3 linked regions of the Notamacropus eugenii genome follow. The protein of the gene in region 1 interacts with the protein of each later gene in a pairwise test. Links are inferred from orthologs where the notes say so. Each region holds a gene or a part of one and is shown in the gene's direction. Other genes may lie near its edges. The genes, in order: TMEM79, SFTPC and SLN.

What was found.
Region 2: the proteins of TMEM79 (region 1) and SFTPC interact in binary tests that used the Homo sapiens proteins (3 or more experiments, as listed by UniProt). The two-hybrid records come from large-scale screens. The link is inferred for Notamacropus eugenii from reciprocal best matches to the Homo sapiens genes TMEM79 and SFTPC.
Region 3: the proteins of TMEM79 (region 1) and SLN interact in binary tests that used the Homo sapiens proteins (3 or more experiments, as listed by UniProt). The two-hybrid records come from large-scale screens. The link is inferred for Notamacropus eugenii from reciprocal best matches to the Homo sapiens genes TMEM79 and SLN.

The regions. Positions count from the first base shown.
Region 1 is NC_092873.1:380,363,659-380,371,794, forward strand, and holds the start of TMEM79 (transmembrane protein 79), read left to right. Parts: upstream 1-4,753; 5' UTR 4,754-5,658; intron 5,659-6,237; exon of another isoform or gene 6,238-6,291; intron 6,292-6,721; 5' UTR 6,722-6,783; coding exon 6,784-7,498; intron 7,499-8,038; coding exon 8,039-8,136. Other genes in the region: nonsense-mediated mRNA decay factor SMG5, read right to left, coding at 200-323, 928-1,026, 4,434-4,507.
Region 2 is NC_092872.1:612,486,810-612,495,063, reverse strand, and holds the start of SFTPC (surfactant protein C), read left to right. Parts: upstream 1-5,062; 5' UTR 5,063-5,247; coding exon 5,248-5,298; intron 5,299-6,339; coding exon 6,340-6,498; intron 6,499-6,891; exon of another isoform or gene 6,892-6,944; coding exon 6,945-7,067; intron 7,068-7,433; coding exon 7,434-7,544; intron 7,545-7,661; coding exon 7,662-7,799; 3' UTR 7,800-7,809; intron 7,810-8,228; 3' UTR 8,229-8,254. UniProt on the Homo sapiens protein: Pulmonary surfactant associated proteins promote alveolar stability by lowering the surface tension at the air-liquid interface in the peripheral air spaces.
Region 3 is NC_092876.1:147,262,441-147,270,413, forward strand, and holds the start of SLN (sarcolipin), read left to right. Parts: upstream 1-4,890; 5' UTR 4,891-4,974; intron 4,975-7,973. UniProt on the Homo sapiens protein: Reversibly inhibits the activity of ATP2A1/SERCA1 and ATP2A2/SERCA2 in sarcoplasmic reticulum by decreasing the apparent affinity of the ATPase for Ca(2+). Also inhibits the activity of ATP2A3/SERCA3.

The DNA.
Region 1 (8,136 bases):
TACCTTCCTCCCCTAACTCTCCAAATCCATGATACTACTTCCTCGTGATCCCCAACTATGTTTACCACAGGTTCCTTCCCTATCCTCTGGACACTCTTTTCCATTTCCTCTATCCCACCCTCTTTGGCCCTCAATTGGCTCTTCCCCTCCCTAGATGCTCCTCCTCACTGTCCTTCCCCAGCTCTACCTCTCCTCTTACCTTTTTGTTGGTCTTGATAAGCTGGATAACCTCATAGTACACCTTCCTCCACAGCAGCTCCTCTGCTTTCCTCCCATAATCCACTGGATGCAGGAACATAAGCTTGACACAGAGTTCACGAAGCCTAGGAGGGGGCAGGGGTTGGGGAAAGAAAGTTTTCTGAGGTATCTGAAGAGATGAACTGGCTACAAGGAGACATTTGATAACACACCTACTACATAGATAACTGTGCTCTCACTTAAGAGACAGTCTAAAATGATACTGAGTATCCCCATTCCAAAAAAAAACAGAAGTCACAAAAGACATGATACTGAGTATCCCCATTCCAAAAAATAGAAGTCCCAAAAGACATGTAAGAATTTCAATAAACTACAACTCCCCTCCCTAACATCTTGTTTTCTTTTCTTCTGATTTTTCTTTTTCTCTCCTTTCCTCCAGGGTGAAATATAGACAATTCTTCCTCATGATTCAAATGTGGTTCCTATCTCCAATCTACTGGATATGGAGACTGAAGATGAAGCAAGAAAAGTGACTCTGGGAGCTGTTTCCTCTTTCTGCCCTTCAAAAAAACTAAAGATCTTGGGCAACAAGATGACAGTCTTTCTTATTAGGCTATCAGGATATCTCTGAATTTGACATAGCTTACTAAGGATAAGAACAGGGTAAATGAGGAGGGATGGAAACGAAGGAGAATTGAGAACTGTTGTTTGGCAGTTGCCCCAGCTTACTTGTTCCTTAGGCTAATGTTCTCTGGTTTGAACACTTCTTGGTAAGCAGTTTTGTTGCAAAGGATGAGGTCAAGCCGATGCACAGCCTCCACCACTGCCCTGAAGAGAAATACAAGACAGAAAAACCCTGAGCCATGAGTATGGGACGGCATGGGTAAAAGAACTAGGATTAGAAAAAAGGTTAAAGGAGATACCATTCAAACTGAAGAATTCTTGGAACCTATCCTTTGCAAACTTATCATCTCTTAACCACAAAGAAAAGCCATTCTTAATGTCTTGCTTTGCATTAGAGTAGGAACTCTAGGACTGATGAAGGGAGAGGACGCAGGAATGACATTATACTAACAAGCAGAGCAGCTCTCACCTCAACTACTTTGTCTTTCAGTTGTGGAGGGACCATAGTCAGTCTTTACTGTTCCCCTATGTCCTTTGGAGGGTCAAAGACCAACCTTGTCAAGACTCCCAAGCAGATCCAGTTCTACTCTCCTGCCTGGGGTGGAAGCAAGCACTTCTGCCTCCCTGTCAGTAGCCTGGCACCTAGATAGCTATTCTAGTGCCAGCAGGGTAGCTGCCAGCCCCTGGCTAAATGGTTATCAAGGCCTTTTCACAGGCAATCCAAGAAGTACCTAATATCGAGGAAAGGGACAGGCAGACTTCTGGCAGCAGGATTAGGCACCCCATCCTATATCAATAATTGTCTCCAGAGGGTCCCAACTACTTACTAACTCAATATATGTTTTATTCTAACATACTATCTCCTCTCTGGGTTTTCTTGACACGTTCTTATTTGGCTTTCCTAAATAAGTGGCCACTTCCCCTTTGCTAGATTTTCATCCATGTTACAACTAACACCTACCCACTGTGTGTATTGTGTATCCCAGGGTTCTTTCCTGGGCCCTTTTCTCTTTTTCTCTATACTCTCACTTTTCGATCCCATCACCTCTCAAGGAGGCTCAATCATCATTTCTATGCAGATCTATATATCCAATACCAGTCTCTTTCTCCTGAATTCCAGTTCTTTATCACCAATTGGCCCTTGCACCTTTCAAAACAGAATCTCAAACCCAGTACATCCAAAACCAATCTCACTGTTGTTGCTCCCAAAGCCACTGCTCTTCCAAATCATCCTATCAGTCACCTACATTTGCACAATTAGTGCAATTCTCAATTCCTCACATTCTACACATGATGTGTTAGTTATCACATGTACTTGATATGTCCTCTCCACTCACAAAGCCACTACAGAAATTTAGGTGCTGAAAAACTCTTGCCTGGATTACTGCAATGACCCTCTAAATGGTTTCTCTCCCTCAAGTCTCCCCTTAGTCTAATCCATTTCCCAGCTGCCAAAGTGATTTTCCTAAAGTGACAATCTGACTACATCACCTGACTATTCAATAAACTTCAGCAACTCCTTATCCCCTCTAGGATGAAATATAAAATCCTTTTAGGCATTTAAAACTCTCTGCCTCCTTCCCACATTTTTAATCTTTTTTACATATTACCCTCTTCACAGATTCTGTGGTCCAGCCAGACTGGCCTATTTGCTGTTCCTGATGCATGCTACCTCTTCATCTCTGTGACTTTGCACTGGCTATTTCCCAGGTGTAGAATGCTCTCCTTTCTCACTTCTGCCTCTCAGAATCTCGGCTTGGGTCAAGACTCAGCTCAAACACTTTGAAGGAAGCCTTTCCTGGTTTCCCCCAGCTGCTGGTACCTTCCACTTTAAGGTTATCTCGTTTCTCCTTTGCACATATGCATCTTCTCTATATTTATTTATGTCATTCCTCCATTAGAATCTAAGATCCCTGAAAGCAGTTTGTTTTTTTTGCCTCCTCAGGACACAGCACATTGCCAGGCACAAGGTAAGCACTTCAAAAATGCTTCCTGATTAACAGTTTGGTGGGGGGAGGGAAGAGTATGTGAGTATATGTATGAAAAGAAAAGAATCCCCTGATGTGGTAACCCTGTAACTTCCAATATCCCTTTCCCTGCTTACTCAATCACTCACAGAAAGACTGGGATAGCTCCTTATTGTATCTCTCTAGATACAGGTCCTACACTTATTCATGGAATCCGTTCTCTAGATACAGAAATCAAAAAGACACCTTACCCCCAGTTCTCTTCTGCCAAATGCCTTTGCTACATATACATAATAATGACAAGTGATTAGATGGCTCACATCTCATGCCTGAAGCCATGCACAAAGAGAGAATTCCAACATCTGTACATGCATGTATCAACACACCAGGTTTTAAGCATTTCAAAGTGGTGGTTTTTAGAAGGGACTAGATTCTGAGATGATTCAGAGGAGGGTCAGAACAACTACCAGGTGCAGGAGATTAGAGAGAAATCTCGCCCAGTGCCTGCCCACGCTTTGTGCGACAGGCAGCAGTGACACCCGGCAGCACTGAAGAGACACACGTGTCACCCCCAGCCTGCTCTTCATGCATCCAGGGACAGATGAGGGGCAGCTCAAGGTGGGAGCCTTCGGGCTGCTGAATTTGATAGCTGGACTATTTTTGGAGCAGCTTGTATCTCCCCATGCCCTCTGGCTGGCACAGCTGAAACAGGCACAATGCCCACTTGCTGAAGAAGACACAGTAAGCTTTGGCTCTTTCCCTTCTGGGATGCAGCCTGAGAATATGAGGAGTTGCCTTCTCCTGTCCTAAGCCCCCAAGCTGGAGCCAAATGCAAAGACCAATCCTAGCTTAGGAATGGAAAGCTTAAATGCAGCATATGCCACGATCCCAAAGGGAACCCACTTATGGGATGAAAGATTCTGCCAACCTCCCCTCCCCATCTCCCTAGGACCACTCACTTGAGTGAGGAGGCCATCCTGCTCCAAAAAAAGGACTAAAGTCATGACCCACGAGGTGTGGCACGTTATAAATCAGAGAGAAGGCATAAAGTATGTGGAATGAGCCACCAGGCTGAGACTCCAGGTCCCCGGACAGCACACCCATCAACCACTCCTTACACCTCCCTAAAGCCCGTGTCCAATACAGGGTCAGCCTTTCAGCTCCTAGACCCATGCTGTGCCTCCAGACTTCCACGATCCCTCCCCACTGGGTCCCTTCCCTTTTCCTGAGTTTTCTCTTGCAGGCTGAAGGCCTCCCCCCACCCCCCTTCCTTCCCACCCAAGGAATGCCAAAGATCTCACTGTCACCAACACTTCTCAAGCTCTATTTTTATCTTCTAACTCCAACTCGTCCGGGGAACTCAATCCCAACCGCGAGGCCACCGCACATTTCTCCACGTGTCCAACCCACTTCCCACCCCAACTCCAACTCTTAGACCCTAACCCGAGCTCGAAAGTCCCGCCCCTCCCAGCTCCCTCCAAAATCCCTTTCTCCATCTGTACCCGGGATAATCCCGCCCCTTCAACGTGGCCCCGCCCCCGCCTGCCTTTTGCCACCCCGCCCCTCCCCTCCCCCGCCTTCCCCACCTTGTGCCTCTCCCCCCCACCTCCCCGGCAGGTCCTCTCCCGCCCCGGACCCTCTCACCGGTAAAGCCGCTTAGTATGCAGGACCTTGGCCTCGGGCTCACTGCTCTCCGCTGCGGGGGGGCCCTGGCTCATGGTGCCCGGGTCCAGGGGCGGCTCCCGATTACAAGCGCCTGCCACCCACCGCCACCGCCGCCGTCTCCGGCCGTAGCCGCCGCCGCCGCCGTCGCCGGCCCTGCTCGGCCGCCATCGCTGTGAGGCGGCTGCCCGCGACGGCTCCTCCTCCGGCCACCAAATCTCACGAGAACAGCACCGCCGCGCCAGCACCTCCACTGTCGTCAGATCTCGCGAGATCTGATCTCTTCCGGTGGGCAGGGAGCTGCCAATACTAACTCTGGGCAACATGGCCGCTTTTTTAGCTTCTTACCCTTCACGAAAAACTTTATTAACAAAGCCTATGGAAAGGACAGAAGACGATGCAGAGGGCGGAAGCTGAGCTTAGCTAAGCTAAGTCTGATCTGGTGTTTAGCAGGAGGTCTGCCTGTGACCTTATTCTCCTGTGGTCACATAGTCCATTCTTCTGCTTTTAAAATGATTCAAGTAGATGAAGACTCTCCTCTCCTTCCAAAGATTTAATTCCACTGATTTCCCTCCCAGCCTCCTGCTTCACGACCTCCAGCCTGATTTCCAGTGGTCATCTTGCTCAGACTAGACCAGCCCGGTTTAGCTTCGCCCAACTCAGCCCGGCACAACAGGGTTCTCTCCAGTCCTTTTAAGGACTTTCGGGAAAGGGCAGCAATCCTTTATTTCACTCTCATTTCTTGTCTCTTGGAAGACGCCCTTGGTTGCTGTCCAACCTTCATCCTTCCTGGAGATTTAGCCCAGTCCCTAGTCTGGGAAGTGTGGAAATGGAAACAAGTTTTTCCATCTCATAGACTAGAACCCACAAGTTCCACATTAATATCAACCAGTCCAAACCAATCCTCATCGTGTCCTCTCCTAGCCAGATCCACTAGTACAGACCACTCCTTAACACGCCTCATGTGGCCACACCTACACCTTAGGGACAGTGACCTTTTCTCTTTTTTTTCTGTCGGAGGATTCCGAAGAGGGAGGGTGGGGCCTTCCCCTTTAATCCCAGCCCCACCTGCTCTGGTCAGACAGGTTTGGAGCTGCAGGTAAAGGGAGGGAGACACGAAGAAATACCTGCAGAGCCAGTGAGGAGCTGGAGCAGCTCTTTTCCCGGATGGGTCCTGGGATCTCCCTTCTATCTCTCTAGATGGAAAGTAAGGGACGCTTATGGGGCCGGGGTGTGAGGGGGAGGATGAGGTGGAGACCCTGAGGGAAATCAGCACAGTCAATGGTGAGGAATTGGAAGAAAAGGAAGGAAGGGAGAGGAGAAGGGAAAATAGACAGGAACAGGGAGGGAGGAAATGTTCAGTGATTGGAAATAGATTTTCCAGGTGGACAAAGGTTGGACCCTTAAACTTTATCAGTGAGATGGGAAGTTGGCCAAGTAACAGAATGGGCTGTTGCACTGGTGGCTGAGTTTCTGCCTACCCCCCAAACCCTAACCATGGGCTTTTTCTGTGGGTGCTGTTCACTTCTCAGGTTTCCAGCTTACTTCCACAGGATGTATGTGGGGGGGCCGGGGAGGGGGGGGGCGGGAGGCTTACAAGGAGGAGATTGGGAATCTCCAGTTTTCAATGGGGAAAGAGAGGGTATGGCTATCTGAATCTCCAGAGAGATCCTTAGCAGGAGCAGGGGCACAAGATTGATGTGAGGGGAGTGAGTGTCCTGGACCTTGGGGTGATAGGCAGAAGGAGGGACTGAAGATAGATACTGTATCCTCCACTCATTCTTAGATGTTTGATGGTCATGGCCAAGACCACAGCAGTGTTGTGAACCAAGGGAAGGAGGTAAGAGACCTGGATTAGCAGGGATGTCTGAGTTCTGTCTCCCTGACTCATCCTTTCCTGCTAATGTCAAAATGTGACTCCATTTCAGTTTCCCCTTCCCAGGGAAATATTCTTGCTTTCCTTTCTACCCACAACACTTCCTAAGATCTAGGGGAGAAGGGCATTGAAATAATAGATATACAGAATTTTCAAACTAGGAAGAATCTGAGTTAAATTTCCAGGGAAACAGAGATATCTCTTACCATTTCCCTCCAGTGCTCTCCTTAATGACATGAGCAAAATCTTTTACAGAGAGTATGGGGAACTCTGGCCACCATAGGAGAACAATGACTTAATTTTCTCAAGCCCCTTCTCCTAGTACCGGTCCTAAAGCCCTTTCTCCTTATGGATGAAGAAAATATTTAACAAATTCTCTCTCTGCTCCTCCTAGGGTGACGGCAATCCAGTATTATACCCCAGAATCCAGACATCTGGTTCCTTCCTTGCCCCAGCATGACAGAACCCGAGACATTGACTCTGCTGGAGATAAAGGGGCAAGATGCCCTTGAGAAGAATTTGCCCCAGCCCCTCATCCCTAATGGACTCAGATCAGAGGGGGAAGATGGGGAAGAGCTTGCTTCTTGTGAGAATGAGACTGAGAAGGTTGGCAGTGAAGTTACTACTTTGCCCTGGGTGAGGACATCATTAGGTACTGGCCCCCAGCCCAGTGCCCCTTTCCCAGACCCCCCTGGTTGGCGAGGATGTGATAAAGAACCCATTCTAGCTGACCTGCCCCTAAAATCAGAGGAGCCAGTTGAGGAAGACCTTAACCTGATGCCTGAGCAGGCAGCTCGAGCATTTGTGCCAATTGACCCACAGTGCATTGAGAGGAGGCCCCAAGAAGAGCTCATAGTCCACTGTGACAAAAAAGTTGAGGGTGAATGCCAGGCCTTTCTGCTGCCACGGGCTTCCCGTTCAGACCCCCCTGAACGGAAGTGGGCAGAGGCAGCAGTAGAGCCCCCAACTCGCTGTGGGAATTGTAGAGCCTGTGGCCGTGAGGGGTTAAGGGCTGTGGCCTCTTTTGGGGCTGCTCTTATCGTCTTTCCCTGCCTGTTATATGGAGCTTATGCCTTCTTGCCTTTTGATGCCCCCCGGCTGCCCACCATGAGTTCTCGACTCGTCTACACACTCCGCTGTGGGGTCTTTGCCACCTTTCCCATAATTCTAGGTGAGTATTTGTGGGAAGGGAATAGGCATCCCAGAGGGGCACTGGATGCCTGTGTTAAGGGGTAGTTTTCCAAGGAGGGTGAACAAGCTTGATCTGGTACAGAGAAGGTAACAGTGTGTGGGTGGGGTGGAGTAGTGATGGCAATGTCTAGACATGGGATGTGGGGAAGTCTAGGCATAGGAACTGGACTCATCAAAATTCTGAAAGGGCCACCTGCATATCAAGCCTATGCCTCTTCCCATCCTAAGCCCCCCCTTTCCTTATTCTCTGCCTTTGGACTACTCCATTTCACATCTTCTCACCCCATTTCCATGTTTTGAAGCTCACCACACCCCAGCTTCCTATGGATTTGCTCTTATGTGCCTGGTCCAGTTGTGCTCATGTGCTCTTTATCTCATTGCTTCACTCTTCTTCCTCCAGCAACTCTAGTCTTCTTCCTCCTGCTTCTCCTTGATCCTTTCTCATTACTTTTCCCCATCTATCTCCTCATCTTCATTGCTATCCACTTTATATCATGGATCCCATTGTCTCTTAATCCAGGGCTTCTGGTCTATGGTCTCTCCCTGCTGTGCTTCTCCGCACTCCGTCCCTTTGGGGAACAACAGAGAGAAGTTGAAATCCACAGGCAATACGTGGCT
Region 2 (8,254 bases), on another chromosome or scaffold:
CTCTTTGGGATATAAGTCTAATATGGTATATCAAGGGGTATGCACAGTTTGGTAACTTTGGGGGCATAGTTCCAAATTGCTTTTCAGAATTCACAGACCAATTCATAGCTTCACGTCTGACAGTAAGCTGGTCTGCCTATTTTCCTGAAGCCCCTGCCCCCCAACATTTGTATTGAATTTACAATCTTCAAAACACTTTCTTCACTTTCATTTGATCTTCACACCCACTCTCCAAGGAAGAGAAGGCAGATAGTATTAATCATAGTTTAAAGACATAGGAAACCAGCTCAGAGATGTGATATGACTTGCCCAGGTTTATACAGCTAGTAAATGGTATAGCCAAAACTAGAACTCAAGCATCTCGATGCTTCAGCATTCTTCTCACTATACTACCTGTATGCTGCCTCTGACTCCCTCTACCCAAATGAAAGTGGGGACCTTGACTCTTTCCATCCCAGAGAGAACATAGAGAATGTCACTATAAAGATAGGCAAAAGATTCAATTCTAGAGAAAGAGATGAATCACTTTGGGTCATGGTTCTCTATGGAAATCTGGTGGAGCCTGTGAACCCATTCTCAGAATAATGTCTTAAAATGTATTAAATAAAACATATAAGATTACAAAGGAACCCAAAAGTTAGCAAAAATAAAGATGTAATAGTCTTCCTCCCATCTGAGTTCACAGACCCCCTGAACTCTATTCAAGCATTCTTTGGGGATCTGTGGACACTAGGTTAAGAACTCTTCATGTAGAGTAATGGTACTCCTTGGGACCTAGATCTGAAATAATAGACTATCAACACTATTACAGAAATAACGTCTGAGATTCAGGTTGTCCCCTTTCAATCAGTTGTTTCAATCAGTTGTCAATCTATCAAACATTCATCTATTGAGGGAGTGTTTGTAAACACCCATCATATGCAAGGGAGTATACTATAGCTTGATGAACAAGTCAAAGATTGTCCTACTCTCTAGGAGGTCATTGGTCTAACTAGAGAGCCAAGATTAACATACATGGAAAGATAACTGAAAATACAAAGCAGTAAACAGTGCCACCATCAATGGTACATGAATACTAGTAGTTCATTCCTGTGGTTTGGAATTGATTGGAAAGGCTTTTCTGGGAAGGGGAGTTTTTTACTCAGGTCTTGAAGGATGGGTCGGATTCAAGATATGATGAAGAGAATAAAAGATGGCTGAAGAATGAAGTTCATAATAGGGGATAAAGATAGGCTGGGTGAAGATTATATAGAACCATGAATGTTAGCAGGGAATTCTTTTCATCAGTCCCCCAGAAATCTTCAAACCCATTAACATGTTGGTGGCTATTCTCAGAGAAAGAGGAAAATAGTCTTTCCATCTGTTTTCTATTCTAGCCAAAGGAAAATTTTCCATCACCTTCTCCCCATAACTACCCCTAAAAGGTAGTGGATTTGAGAGTTTGTGATACCTCCTGTTCATCTGAAGCCTTGAGAGGAAGAAGGTAGGATTTAGAGGAAGAAGTAATCTTATAGTTTATTTAGTCTAAAACTCTGCATCCTATAGATGAAAATACAAGAGCTCAGAAAGGTCGAATGAATTACTTGCCCAAGGTCCCAGGGATAGTAAATGCAGAGCCAGGATTCCATGAGAAGGAGAATAATGACCCGGATGGGGCAGAGACTTGCCCAGAGTCCTCCAGCAATGTGAAAGATTCAGGACAATAAATTCACAGTCTAATAATTTATGCTACAAACTCCCTCCCCCCACACCTTGAGATCTGACTAGATCTCCTGAGAACAAGCTTCTGCACAATTGCAAAGTTCAAGACACTCCCTAGTTCAAGACACTCCCTAGGTCAAGGCCCTCCAGCCCCTAGAGATGCCCACAGGGTCCCCGAGATGCCTTTGGTTCTCCTTGGCTTTCCAGTTGGCCCAGTGCCCCACCTGGCTCCAGCCCAGTGCCCGTGAGTCAGCTGATCAATTCCGATGTTGCCAGGACAACTAGGGGAAGAGGCCCCAGGGAGCTGGCAAGGGTGGGCACTGCAGGCAGGCAGGCTCCCAGTCTCTTGCACCTGGACGTGGCTGAAGCAGCATTATTGGGAAGGCAGGGAGTATGAGGCTAGGATTTCTTTTTTCTTCCTCCATTTTTTCTCCCTTCTAACTCCCCCTCCTCCTGCCCTCAACCTTCTCCTGAGACATTTTTCTAACTAGAGACTTGGGCAAATATTTAAAGGGGCAGTTGGAGGGTTGGGGGTAAGGAGCAAACAATCTCTCCCTCTTCTTCTTCCTCTCCTTTGAAACCTTTCTGAAACCTCTTAGGCCCTCTCAGGGGCCAGGAATCCAATTAGTTGCACAATTTCTAGGGCCTGAGTATACTCTAGTTGTGGGTCATAGGTAGGGGAGACATGTGCATGTGAAGCCAAGGGAACAAGGTGTCAATTTTTAAATTTAAAAAGAATCCAGTAATAGTTGGATTAGGGAAGATAAGGGATAGGAATTGGGGAAAAGGCCTGGCATTTGGAAAATTGGATAGCTGGGAAGCAGTTGAAGATATCAGAAAAAAAGAGGTGAGGGGGGAGTTGGGAGGGACAAGTTTAGAATTAGGGAAAATATGCAGAGGAATCTAGGGGGAGAATGGAGATGGAGTGACAGGAGACTAGTCACCCCGGAAAAGGAAGGCTAGGTGGTGACTTAGAAGAGAGGATCATACCAGTCAATCAGTCTCCTGTGCTAGGTGTTCTTGGGGGATACGGAAACATAAAAATAATTGCTCACATTAATATAGTGCTCTAAGGTTTGCAAAGTACTTGTCACTTTTGTGCCTCATAATAACCCCATGAGGTGGGTGCTGTTATGATCTTCATTTCACAAATGAAGAAATTGACACTCAGGGTAAGTAATTTGCTCATGATAAAGCAGCTGGTAAGCAGAATTAGAATCGAGGGCTTTCTGATTCCCTTAGCTTCACCACAAACCTGTGCCAGAGGCTAGAACAACCCACTGCGAACCCTGGCCTGGGCAGCCAGAGGGGTGGGGAGACAGGTGTCCTGTAGGTTAATGGAGGGCTCTCCCCACTAGTTTGACTCCTAGCCATCCTTCAAGGCCCACCTCCTTCACGGAGACAGCCCTGATGACTATCCCCTGACGATTTCACCCTCCTCCCAACTCCTTTACGGCTTACTGACTGGGGTAATCAGACAATCGTTGATGCTGTTGCATGTTGAGAGTTATCTCTGTGTGTGTGTGTGTGTGTGTGTGTGTGTGTGTGTTGTGTGTTCCCTCCAAGCTGGGCTCCTGGAGGGCAGAGATTCTGTCTTTTCCCTCCTTCATACCCTCTTAAGCACATAGCATAACAGACATGGGATAAGTTGTGCCCCTCTAACATTAGATGTATGAGATGGGATCTGAGAAAGAGAGCCTGAGATGGTAGAAGCAGTGGCAGACTTAAAGTCAGAAGACATGAGTGTGAGTCCTGGCTCTGATATTTACTAATTGGGTGTCAGGCGGCTCAGTGGATAGAGCGCTGGGCACAGAATCTGCTTCAGACATTTACTAGCTGTGTGATCCTGGGCAAGTCACTTAGCTGCTGTCTGCCTCCATTTCCTCCTCTAAAAATGGGGGTAATAATTGTACCTGCTTCTCAGGATTGCTGGGAAGATAAAATGAAACAATGTTTATGCTATGAAGATAAAATGAAACATGTACTTTGCAAACCTTAAAGTGTTGTATAAATGCTAGCTATTGACACTGTTGCTGTCACAACTGCTTCTTCTGCTACTGCTACCACTACGGCTTCTACCACCACCACTACTATTATTACAGCCACTGCCACTACTACTATCACTACAACTGCTACTGATGCTACTGCTACTACTATCACCACTTGCTGTTGTTGCTACTACTACTTCTACTACTGCTGCTGCTACTACCACTGCTATTGCTACTACTACCACCATCACTACTGATACTGCTACTTCTACTACCACAGCACCCATTTGAGCCTTAGTTTCCTCTTTTGCAAAATGAGGATAATTTTAACTGTGTTGTAGCTCATAGGGCTTGGAGGAGAGCCCTTTACATAATCTTTTCTTCAAGGGATTGTTTAGATGGCTCGTAGTCTAGTTGGGGAACCAAGAGTAACATATGACAAATGGTAAAAGATGGTGTATCAGTCAGTTCTCTACTCAAAGGGAATTTGAAGTCTTAAAGAGTAGGAAGGAACATTTGGATTCCAAGGATGATAGGATTCAGACCTTAGATTGCATCCAGTCTTAGCACTGAGGCCCAGAGAAGGGAAGTCACTGGCCCAAGGTCACACTGGAAGTAAGTAGCAAAGGAAGGTTTCAAACCCAGATCTTGCAACTCCAAATTCAGGGCTCTTTCTATTACATGTGGGTGCCTTCATTACTATAGGAAAAGCTCAGTGCTGAATGACTCAGTAAAGTCAAGGGAGGGGAAACAGGGAGTAGGTATGGTGGAGGGGGAGAACCGAACCTATGTGGGGAATTCGTCTTTTGGCTGAAACCTTTGCAATCAGCCTAAGGCCACAGTAACACCCCTGCACCCAGTAGCAATTGTGAGTGCTGCTTCCCTTAGGGCAGGGGTGGGGAACCTGCAGCCTCGAGGCCACATGTGGCCTTCTAGGTCCTTGCATGTGGCCTTTTGACTGAGTCCAAGTTTCACAGAACAAATCCTTTTATTAAAGGGATTTGTTCTGTGAAGTTTGGTTCAGTTAAATAAAGGGCCACACTTGAGGACTCATATGTGGCCTTGAGGCTGCAAGTTCCCCACACCTGCCTTAAGGACTCTGTTTCTGGAGCAAAGCCCTTGCAAGTTCATATAGGAGAAGAACAAATAGAGGAAATTATAGGAATCCAACTGTGCCAGGGACCCTGTTGCCCAAGTCTCTGTAAAAAAAGAATAGGGCAATGCCCCAAAGGCTGAAGAACAGGGGCAGTTTCCAACAGGAAGGGTAGAAACAATAAAAGAGACACTCATGGCAGGTGAAGCACATTACTTAAGGCTCCTTTTACTCAGCTTGAACTTGGAGATGGTTTGCAATGCCCACGAGGGTTTTTGTGTCCCAGGATGAGAGCTCTTAGGCACTCAAACTCTAAATTATCAGAGGCTTTGATTCTGGAGGGTTAGGAACAAACAGGATTCAAAGCTAAGGGCCTGCCACACCACCTCCATTGTGTGCTGTAATATATAAGGTCCGGGGACTAGAAGGCTGGAGGTGTGAGGAAGGCAAAGAGCCCAAAGCAACATGGATATGAGCACCAAAGAGGCTCTGATGGAGAGTGCACTGCCACCACCGGTAAGAGGATGAGAAAGGGCCCCCAGCCAGGAAGCCATGGTATAATGGGACTGAGGGCTCTCCACCAACACCCACTAACCCATACCCTAGGCTAAGTGTTTCATGTACATTTGTCCCCAGAAGCCTGGCACAGGTGTTAGCCTGGGGCAGCCAGGGGTGGAGACACAGGGAATATATGTCTAGGTGTAGGGCTCTTCTCACCTGTCTGACTCCTACCTGGCCTTCACGGCCCAAGTCAAGTCCTATCTCCTCCTTGAAACCCCTCCCTGATTACTCTCCCTTAACTTTTTTCATTCTCTCAATTCCTTTACCGCTTTCTAACTGGGACAATCTCTGGTCACTGAATGTTTATAGTTATCTGTGTGTGTGTGTGTGTGTGTGTGTGTGTGTGTGTGTGGGGTGTATATGTGTATGTTCTCAGCTGGATTACTTGACTACAGAGATTCTGTTTTCTGCCTCCTTTTTATACTTTTCAGGACCTAGAAGTATAGCACATAACAGGAAAGTGATAAATTCTTGGTAATTGGTTAATTGACACTAGGAGATATCTTTAGGAGTTTGTTTATGCAGGGTAAAAGAGTGGGCAACCTCAGGGATAGGATAGCAAAAAATCAAAAAGAAAGAAAAGAATAGAAAAAGAAAGAAAAGAAAAAAAGAGAGACATTAAAAGATCTTTTGTAAAAATACAGATTAAAGAACAGAAGGGAAAACAGAAAGAAGCACAGACAAGCAGGACAGCTTTGAAATATATGAGTTGAATTGATCACATACTTTAAAAAAAAGCAAGCTGTGTATAATGGCAATCTGTAGTTTTGTGTGCAATCTTGTTTTTTGTTCTACTGTATGTATGGAAATGTCTATTTTTATCTGGTGTTTTTAAAATTCAGAATAAAGATAATTTTTTTTTTAAAGAAAAAAAAGAATGGGCACCCTTGCTGATGGACAAGAGTGGCCAAGTGGCAGTGGGGGTGGGATAAGGAGTCATCCAGCCATGACCCCCAGCTTTGACAGTGATTTCCCTGGCCCCTTTTCCCATAACAGGACTACTCCGTCACCCCTCAAGGCCGATTTAGAATACCCTGCTGCCCTCTCCACCTCAAGCGGTTGCTCATCATTGTGGTGGTGGTGGTTTTGGTGGTGGTGGTGGTGCTAGGGGCCCTGCTCATGGGGCTGCACATGAGTCAGAAGCACACAGAGATGGTGAGGGGGTGCTGGAGGGACTGGCAGCTTGGGAGTGGGCTGGCAGGATGGGCAGGGAGGGAAGTTTGGTTTGGGATGATGGGGCACTGTGAGCAGAAGATCATGGGGCTATGGAGAGGGTTGATCATGGAAGGCATGGGGTTTGGAAAGGCTGAGAGAATGGGCACAAAGCAGGGCACAGAAAGAACAGACCCAATTCGACCTGATTAAAGAATATCAGAGTTGGTACCCTCCAACCCTCTCCACACCGGCCCAGGTGCTCTACTCAGTTCATTCTGTCTGGGTAGCAAGAATGGGGTGGGCACTGCCCATAGACCAGCTGGAGGCTGCACTTGGGAAAAGTTCTTGGAATTGGGTAAGGACACTGAAAGGATAAAAGAGGAATAAGCCCACCTGAAATGAGAGGAGGTCTTGGCGGAACTGACAGAGGGCATCCAATTCTCTAGGTTCTGGAGATGAGCATTGGGGGGCCAGATGCCCAGCAGCGCCTGGCCCTCAGCAGGCAAGAGGGAACTGTCTCTACCTTCTCCGTTGGCTCCTCTGGCACTGTGGTCTATGATTACTATCGGGTATGCAAGAGATGCCGCAGGGCTGGTGTTAGGTGTGGGGGGGTGAGGGTGGGGTAAGTCAATCACCAGATTGAGTGGAAGGTGGGGTTCCCATATCTCTTGAGCATGTTTGGGATTTAGCTTAGGTACAAACATGCCTGAACACCAGCCTCTACCTTTGTGCACTCCTCCACACTTCATCCTGTGGTGGTCACCTGACCTTCCTTGAGCTCTTAGCTCCCAAAAGATCAGCAGACTCCAAATGCTGTTTCTCACAATCCACTAGATGGAGACTGAAGCTCTGAACCCTCAAAACCCAGATCTGGATTGAGGGTGAGGTTGTGTGTAGGAAGAAACTTTCTTCAATTTTTTCCCTTCCATGCTCAGCTCTTAATTGCATACAAGCCTGCCCTGGGTGCCACCTGTTACATCACTCAAATGACTCCAGAGGATATCCCCAGTCTAGATGTCATCACCCGAAAATTTCAGAGTCACCTGGTGAGTGGTGCTCCACATTTTCATTACACACTCTAGGTATTTGTATCTGATATCAATCATTCTCCACCCTTGCGGGAATGTCTATTTTTTTTTTTTGTTTTTGTTTTTGTTTTTTAGGCTAAACCTTCTTTGCCTACTGCTAAACTGGATCATGAGGAGGACTCCCATGCCAGCTCAGAGTCCCAGGTGGACCCAGCCTTCCTGGGCACTACTATGAATGTCCTTTGTGGCGAGGTTCCTCCGTACTACATTTAGGGACCATCTGGTGAGCAAGGGAATAGAGGCAACGTTCTTGGAGGGTACTGCTAAGTTGAACCAAGGGAACTGTGGAAAGGATGACATTATGTCTGTGTCTGCCAAGGGGCACTGAACTCAGATGAACCATACTGGGGAGAACTGGAGGGGGTGGAGGAGGTGGATCTTACTCAGGAAAGCTCCGAAGTGGGGGTGGGCAGGAGAGTTGAGAGTCTCATCCACTCTCCTTCCTCTGGAAAGGAATCTTAGAAGTCATTAAGTCTAACTCCCTCATTTTACAGATGAGGAAACTGAGACACAGAGAGGTTCAATAACTTGCTGAGAGTGACATGGCTAGTAAATACCTGAACCTAGGTCCAAGTCCAGAGCTCTATATGCTGGCTCTCAGGGTAACCTCCTCCCTTGGTAACCAGTGTCTTTGCTTTCTAGGTTTTGAGCTGCCAAGGGGACAGAAG
Region 3 (7,973 bases), on another chromosome or scaffold:
GCATCTGTGAATACAAACATATGCAAGTTTCTCTGTGCATGAATTTAGAGAGAACTTTCATTACCATATTGGTCCAAATATAGATCACAATTCCTCTCCACTCCTCTAAATCTGGCCTTGCAAAAACCCTGAATTTAGCCTGTAATAGCACCCTTAGTAGGATGGTCAGGAATAAGAGAACAGCAAAAGTGAATCTGCCAGATAGTATACTATTAGCTGTGATTTTTTTTAATGTCAACATATAGTGCTATTGGAAACATGGAGACTATGGTGTGGTGGAAAGGGTGCTGGACTTAGAGTTAGAAGTTCAAATATGAACCCTCTCTCTTGCTTCTTATGTGACCTTGGACAAGTCATGTAACTTCTTTGGGCCTCAGTTTCCTTATCTATTAAATTAGAGAATTGGGCTAAATGTCTTCTAAGATCCCTTTTTGATTTAAAACTGTGATTCCATGAACATGAAAACGGTAATGGGAAGCCCTAATGTGGCAGATGGACTGGTGCAGTGAGGTTAGAAGCTTTCCTTGGAAAGGGGAATAGCATCCAGATGGCAGATGTCATCTTTGTCAATAATCTGAATATTGAACAAACTGTTCAAGAGAGGAAAAGTGATGATAAAGATGAATAAAACATTTGTTTAAGTGGAAAGAAATGTAGAAAAACTCACTTTGATTCTGAATATATTACATATTAATTTAGCGTGGTATTTCCACATGATAGTATCTCTGTCTATTGTATCTATCAGTCTATCTATCTAATCTATCATCTATCATCTATCTATCTGTCTGTCTATCTATCTATCTATCTATCTATCTATCTATCTATCTATCTATCTATCTATACTTTTACATGAGCATATTTGGAAATATATAGATATGGACCAGACCAATCATCTTATTGATACAGAGAACTCTCAAAGAGGAAATTCCCCTCCAAATTTAGTTCCCTGCTATTTATAATCTTAGTTGTCTAGAACATTTAGAGGTAAAATGATTTGTTTAGGGTCATACATTCAGTATATCAGAGACCAGACTTGAACTCAAGTCTTCTAAGCCCCAAGACCAGCTCTCTTTTTACTACCCACACAATCTATCACATACACATAATACATATATACTTCTCTTTTCAGAGAGACTACATTTTGAAGATGTCATCTATATTCAGGGATAATCTGTTATAGCAATTTGGATAGAATAAAATCATGATTATGTGGAAACTTGACTGGTTTGTTCTGTAATATCAATAAATTAAAGTTTTGTTGAATAAAATTATATAGATGATTGTAAGAAGGATCTTTAGAGTATTTAAGAGAACAAACATCTTTCAACAACACTCAACCTCTTTATGATTCTAAATCTTTATGATTCTATACCATTTAGATATATAAAATAGATATGATGATTATCAGTTATATCTAATCATTATATGATACTCCATCTGGCATAATTCCCTCAACTCACACTGGTATTAAGCAGGTTGTGTATCCAGAAGGGAAGCTACTACTACTTTCAGAGTTCTAGGGGCAATCCTTAGGATGGTTTTGGGGAGATTCTGAGTATGGCTATCCTCTTTACAGGAGTTTTAGCTCATGAGCTCTCACTTGTGTGCTTACTTTTAATAATTAGACAGTAGAGTCAATTCCTTAGCAAAGAAAAACATTTACTGAGAGACATAACAAGAAGAAAAGTTACAAAGCATTTCCTTTAAAGCTTGGTGCATACTGTCCCACAAAGACACATACAGTCTATGAGGGAAAGAATAAGCACAATTTAAAGTACAGTGCTAGTGGAGTACATGTGTGGAGCATATGCATAGATAGCCAAGTCAACTCACCAATCTGGATCTGCTGGGTCATGATTTTTTGTTTGTGTGGTTTTGTCTGTTTTGTTTGTTTTGACTTCTGGAGGGTCCTCATGAAGTCTGCTTGTAGAGCATAGCTCTGATGATGAAAAGTTGTTTCCCTCCTCAACCGAACTGATTCCTTGCAAATCATGGTGTCTTAGATGGATAGGACAATTCACTGCTGGAATGGGTCAAGCAGGTTGCTTGGTTACTGAGCTGTCTCCTCACTGGGATCAGTGACTGCTGGGAAAGACCATGCAGCTTGCTTGGCTACTAGATCCAGCTGCTCCTTGACTGAGATGGACAGGTCATTTAGCTCCTAGGCAGCTGCTTTCAGAATGGCTTTGGTGGCTAGCGTGACCATTGAGCTTTTCACAGACCATAGCATCTCTGCTGGACAGGTCAAGTTGCTGGACACCTAACAATAGCTTTCTCATGGATAGTTACAATCTCTTACCATCTTCAGTCACAAGCTTGGCTGGGTGGTACTATACATTCTTCAGCTGGAGTGCTACAATGATCTGTTTAGCTGGAGTGCCATGAGTATCTTTCATAAAGAGTGATGACCCTTAGCTTAGGATTGGCAGGAGTCTCTCTGTGTTAACTCCTTCAGGGCTAGTACTCTAGCCTCCAGGAAAGACATAGGAGAGGTTTAACCTTTCCTATTTATTATTTCTTCCTAGTTCATGGGTGACTTCCCTCAGTGTTAATCTCTATCTTTATTTATGATGATCAGCTATATTTCCATTGGGTCTTATGTAGATAAGTAGCTGGGGGTAAAGGAATTAAAGAGATCTGTTCCTCGGGGAAAGTTACTGGTCTCACTGGTCTTTTCATAGGCAAATGAACTATTTAAGACTAATTAACCTTATGAGAAACAGACTGTTTTCCTTTGCCTCTAGAAAGGCTTCCCCTTTAGATTTCAATGTTGTGAGTCCCTTAACTTCAAAAGGGGAACAATATTACAATTTAAGGAATTGAAAACTACTAAGCAAAACTTTGTCAGTCTAGTTCTGTTTGTTCAGGGTAAAGAATTTGGAATCTAAAGATCTGAATTCAAGTCCTAGCTCTTCCATTTACCAGCAGTGTGAATTTAGGCAAATGACTTGCTTTTTCTGAGTCTTAGTGTCCTGATTTGTAGAATGGTAGGGTCCTGTTAGGTGGTGCAGTGAACAGAGAGTACCCAGCTTGAAGTCAGGAAGACACCTTCCTGAGTTCAGATCTGGCCTCAGATACTTACTAGCTGTGTAACCTGTGCAAGTCAATTAACTTTGCCTCAGTTTCCTCATCTGGAGAAGGAAATGGCAAATCACTCTGGTATCTTTGTCAAGAAAACCCCAAATGGGGTCATGCAGAGTAGGACATGATTGAAAAATGACTTTATAACAATAACAACAAAACCAAAAGTTTGCTATTGTGAGAAGAAGCCTGAACTTGGAGCTCACCCCTGAAATTTGCTAATTGTGTGGTCATGAGTAAGTCACTAAACATCTCTTGAGTCTCAGTTTCCTTGTCGGTCAAAAGGGATTCATAATTGCATCTATTTTACTCAGTTGTCCTAAGGCTCAAATGGGATAAATATGCAAAAGAAGAGAGATAGGGATTGAACTCAGTGATTTTATTGTTCTAGCAAACTACTGGAGAAAGAAACTCTGTGTACTAAAGCAGAGTGTGCAACTTTTCTGCCATTTATAGTTTTAAGAGAGTTGCCAGGGTCACTGGCAGGATAAATGATCTGCCTAACCCTCTGTACAAGAGACTGCAGTTTCTTCGTAGGTACAGTAGGGATAGTTAACATTGATATAGTCCTTTAAGTTGGCAGAACTTTTTGCAAATATTATCTCATTTTATCTTCATAACAACCCTGGGAGGTAGGGGCCACTTCAGGAAGTTGAGGGCTTCTTGGCAGCAGACCTAACGCTTTCTCCACTGCTCCACTTAGCTGCTATTATCAACCTACCCCAACTTACATTTTAGGGTTGTTGTAAGGATCAGTCAGATAATCTAAGTAACCTATAAATTACTCTCCATAGTTATTTAAGAATAATAAAAAGTATTATTTGAAGAGATGTTCTGTAATTCATAGTTCTCCCTGAAAGGCAGTTTATTGTAGTGGATAAAGGGTTGGATTTAGAATCAGAAAGATCCGGGTTTAAGTCCTTCTTCAGACCCATTCTAGCTGTGTTGACCATTTGTAGGTCATTTGACTTCTCAGTGTCCCAGGCAAAACCCTAAGATTATAAATTGTTGATCTGCATCTTGTGGAGAAAGGCGTGGGAGTTCCCTACACTGATTGAGAGGAAAACATTCTTTTTATGAATCTTGGCTGGCTTTTCTTCCAACTTACCCAACTAAGGCAGTTTTTACTTCAGAGAAATACTAATAACCTTTCTTGTTACAGAAGGCTACCAATCACTTTTTCCACAGTTGTCTTAGATTAAAATATACACTAGGGTGATGATCCACAGAGAAAATCGTAGTTGAAATATCAAGCAGCAACAGGTGCAAATGCTAGTATATTATGCTGTCTGGCCTCCAGTCAGTTCTGAAAAAGCTAAAGATGGCTTCATTCAGGACGGAGCGAGAATTTTCTAGTTCAAATAACTCAATCCTGGGTGGTACTCTCATGCTCAGTTCCATTCCTGGTGTCAGTGCTGGTGCATGACTCCCAAATGCCCATTCCAAGGCTAATCTTAATTCTTTTCTTAGTTTGTGAGTCTTAAAAACAGATCCAGCAATCCCTATTTGTTAAAACTTTTCTACAGCAGGAATTAGTGAAAGGTTAAAGGCCCTAACTTAAGGACTGCAAAAGTCAGTAGGAAACACAGCATTCTAGAGGTCTCCATGATTTTAATAACAATTGATCGCAAAGAACAGAGCTGTCCATGTGTAAGTCAGTACAACCCTCTGGCCCCCCAAAGCACAAATAGCCACCCATCTGTCCAGGTTACTCCTTGGAAATGCTTGGTTAATGACATCACTCTGATTGCCACCACCCTTGTACCCCTCCTCCCTGGGGCTGACTACTTTAGCTGCGGCTAAGAGACTGGGAGTCCAGACCGTCCTGGAAAGGCAGCAAGAGCACAGCAAAAACTCAGGACCAAGAATCAGCCCATCATTTTTCATCTCCTGGTAACGAAGAATTGCCATTTAATGTTTATGTTGAATGTCTGTATGCATGTGTGAGTGTGTAAATGAGAATGACAAAAAGTTACTGATTTTGAAAAATGTGCTTAGAGGAAATAAAGATTATACACTTAATATTCCTTATAATATCAGGTGAATAGCAATTTCAGTTTTTTCCACATGGTATGTGGTTATTTTTTCCTCTTCTCTTTTTTAGTCCCTTTATCTTTTGGAGTTTTGCCTCAAGATTATAGATGATAATCTCCTGAAAATTTCCATGCAAATGCATTGAATGTCTGTATTGCTTTACTAATCAAGGTTTTCTGAATTTCCTTTTCATTCATATTTCATGAGAGGCAGTGTGGTTCTGTGGAAAGAGCATTTGAATCTCAGATCTGCCACTTGTGTCCTTGAACAATCATTCCACTTCTCCGGGTCTCATTTCCTCCTCTACAAAATGACAGCATTAGACTAGACCTCTGAGGTTCCTTCTGGCTCCAAATCTATGAGCCTATTACCTTATTGGGGGCAGACTACACTGAGAAGCAGTAAGGTATAGTGAAAACTGTGTAGGATTCAAGGATGGAGAATGTGGATTTTATTGCTGCACCTGTGTCACTTTTGCCTCCGTTTCTTTCCCTGTAAAGTGATGGAATTGGACTAGATGACCTCTAAAGCCCCTTCCAACCCAAAATCTATGAGCCCATGATAAGACACCCAAATACAATTGGATGGTTTGGCAACAGGCACGAAGACTGTGAACTCAACTCTGGATGGGGTCTGAAAGGTGGTGAACATTGGCCTTAAGTCAATCAATCAAGAAGCATTTATTAAGCACTCACTATATGTCAGATGAGAGACAGAATAGTCTAGTACATAGAGAGCCACTAGCCCTAGAGACAGGAAGTCTTAAGTTCTATTCCTGCCTCTGACACATACTGGTTATCTGACCTTGAATAGTAATCTAAGCAACTCTCTAAGACTATAAATTGCAGAGAAAGTATCATCCTTCATTGGCAGGGGGAGTTTCCTCATCTAGGAATTCCTTATGCCATGATTAGCAGCTGTGTGGCACAGTGGATAGAGTGCTGGGCGTAGAGTCAGGAAGACTCATCTTTCTGAGTTCAAATCTGGCCTCAGACACTTACTAGCTGCGTGACCCTAGGCAAGTCATTTAACCCTGTTTGCCTCAGTTTCCTCTGCTGTGAAATAAGCTGGAGAAGGAAATGGCAAACCACTCCAGCATCTTTACTAAGAAAAACCTAAATGAGGTCAAGAAGAATTGGATATGACAGAAATGACTGAACCAAAACAGCATGTCAAGGATACTACATCTTTAGTTCCCAACTCTATGTGCCAGAAATAATGCTTAACTCTTGAAGGGAATCTGCTAAGAAATAAAAGTGTACTGTTCTGCGTCCTTACTGACTTTGCTTCATGTCCCCTAAGGTATGGTGGCTATGTAAAAATGGCCTGAGGAGTTCTTAAAAACTGTCACAGGCTGATAACCTTCAGGGCTTTTTTGTTTTTTGGGGTTTTTTTTAAATTGTTGTTTTATACTACATTTTTTTGGGCTTAATGATGAAAATACTTTAAAAATTGTTTTCAAGTACTAGATTGCAAGATGCTTTATGATGCATAACAAGTGTATTCAAGGTCATCCTCAAAGTGCAAGTAATTCTGCAGGATAAAAATCAAGATAGAAGCAGTATGTCAACCAGCCTATCAGAAGAGAATGCTCTGTAGGGAATTTACAGATATTTTGTTCTACTGAACCTGTTAATCCTGGTAGTTAGTCATCATAGCATTTCAGAGCTGGAAAGGCTCTCATGGTTGATCTGACCCCAAACCATTCTTTTAGTTTCACTATCGCACACAGTTCTGTTTACAAGGTGAGCTTGGCTGGAGTTCAGTGCTTAGACTCTTAGAATCTAGAGTTGAAAGGACCTTAAAAATCATTTCTCTAGTCTCATCTATTTTACAGGCAGGAAACAGAGGCCCAGAAAAGCAAAATGGTTTACCCAAGGTCATCCAGGCCCTCTGACATCAAATACAGTGCCCTTCCCACATCACACTGTCTCTCTTGCTAAGTGAATGATCTTTGGACAAGTTATTAAATCTCTCTTAGCCTCCATTTCCTCTACTGGAAAGCTGGGATAATACTTGCCCAGCCTGCATTATAGGGTTATCATAAGTATTAAATGAGGTAAAGTATGTCAAAATTCTCTGAAAACTATAAATTGTGCCACACATGTAAGGTATTAAAATTATTTTCTTCATCTCCAGAAAGTTCTGCTCACCCACTGCTATGTATGGTTCTGTCTTTAAAATGCCAGAATATAATGGCAGCAGATATTCAGTAGAATTACACAAAAATGTTTTTATTTGAGCCACACAACTAGCCTGCCAGGTAAGAAGGGCAGGTCCTATTCTTTATTTACAGATAAAAAATAAGGACTTTGAGAGTTAAAGTGATGTGCCTTAGGTCATGGAGTTTGTAAAATGGAATGCTGGAATTTGAACATAGATTTTCTGACTTCAAATCTAATTTTCTTTCCCTTCCATTTTTCCATCAGTTAGTTGAGTAGGAGGCAAAAAAAGTCTAATGAATATCTTAATTCAACTATTTTAAAAATAAATTTTTATTGATATCTTTTTAAACATTGTTTTACAAGTCTCCCCCCCCCCAATTCTTTATCTAATTGATTAAAAAAAACTGAACTGATTGAGATTTTTTTTTGGTGGTCTATAAAGAGAGCCATCATCATCCTGGACTTCAGAGGACCTGGATTCAAATCCTTCCTCTAACATTACCTAATTATAGCTGTCCCAATTTATTTGATTTGTGTGGAGCGACTATACAGCCATAGTGTCTGTGTCATATGTGGTTAATAAGTGATTGAATCTGATCAAATTCATAAAATGTGTTAGTATGATACTATACTTTAATACTTCTTGAGCACCCTAAAATATGTCAGGCACTGTGCTAGATGTGACATCAAGAT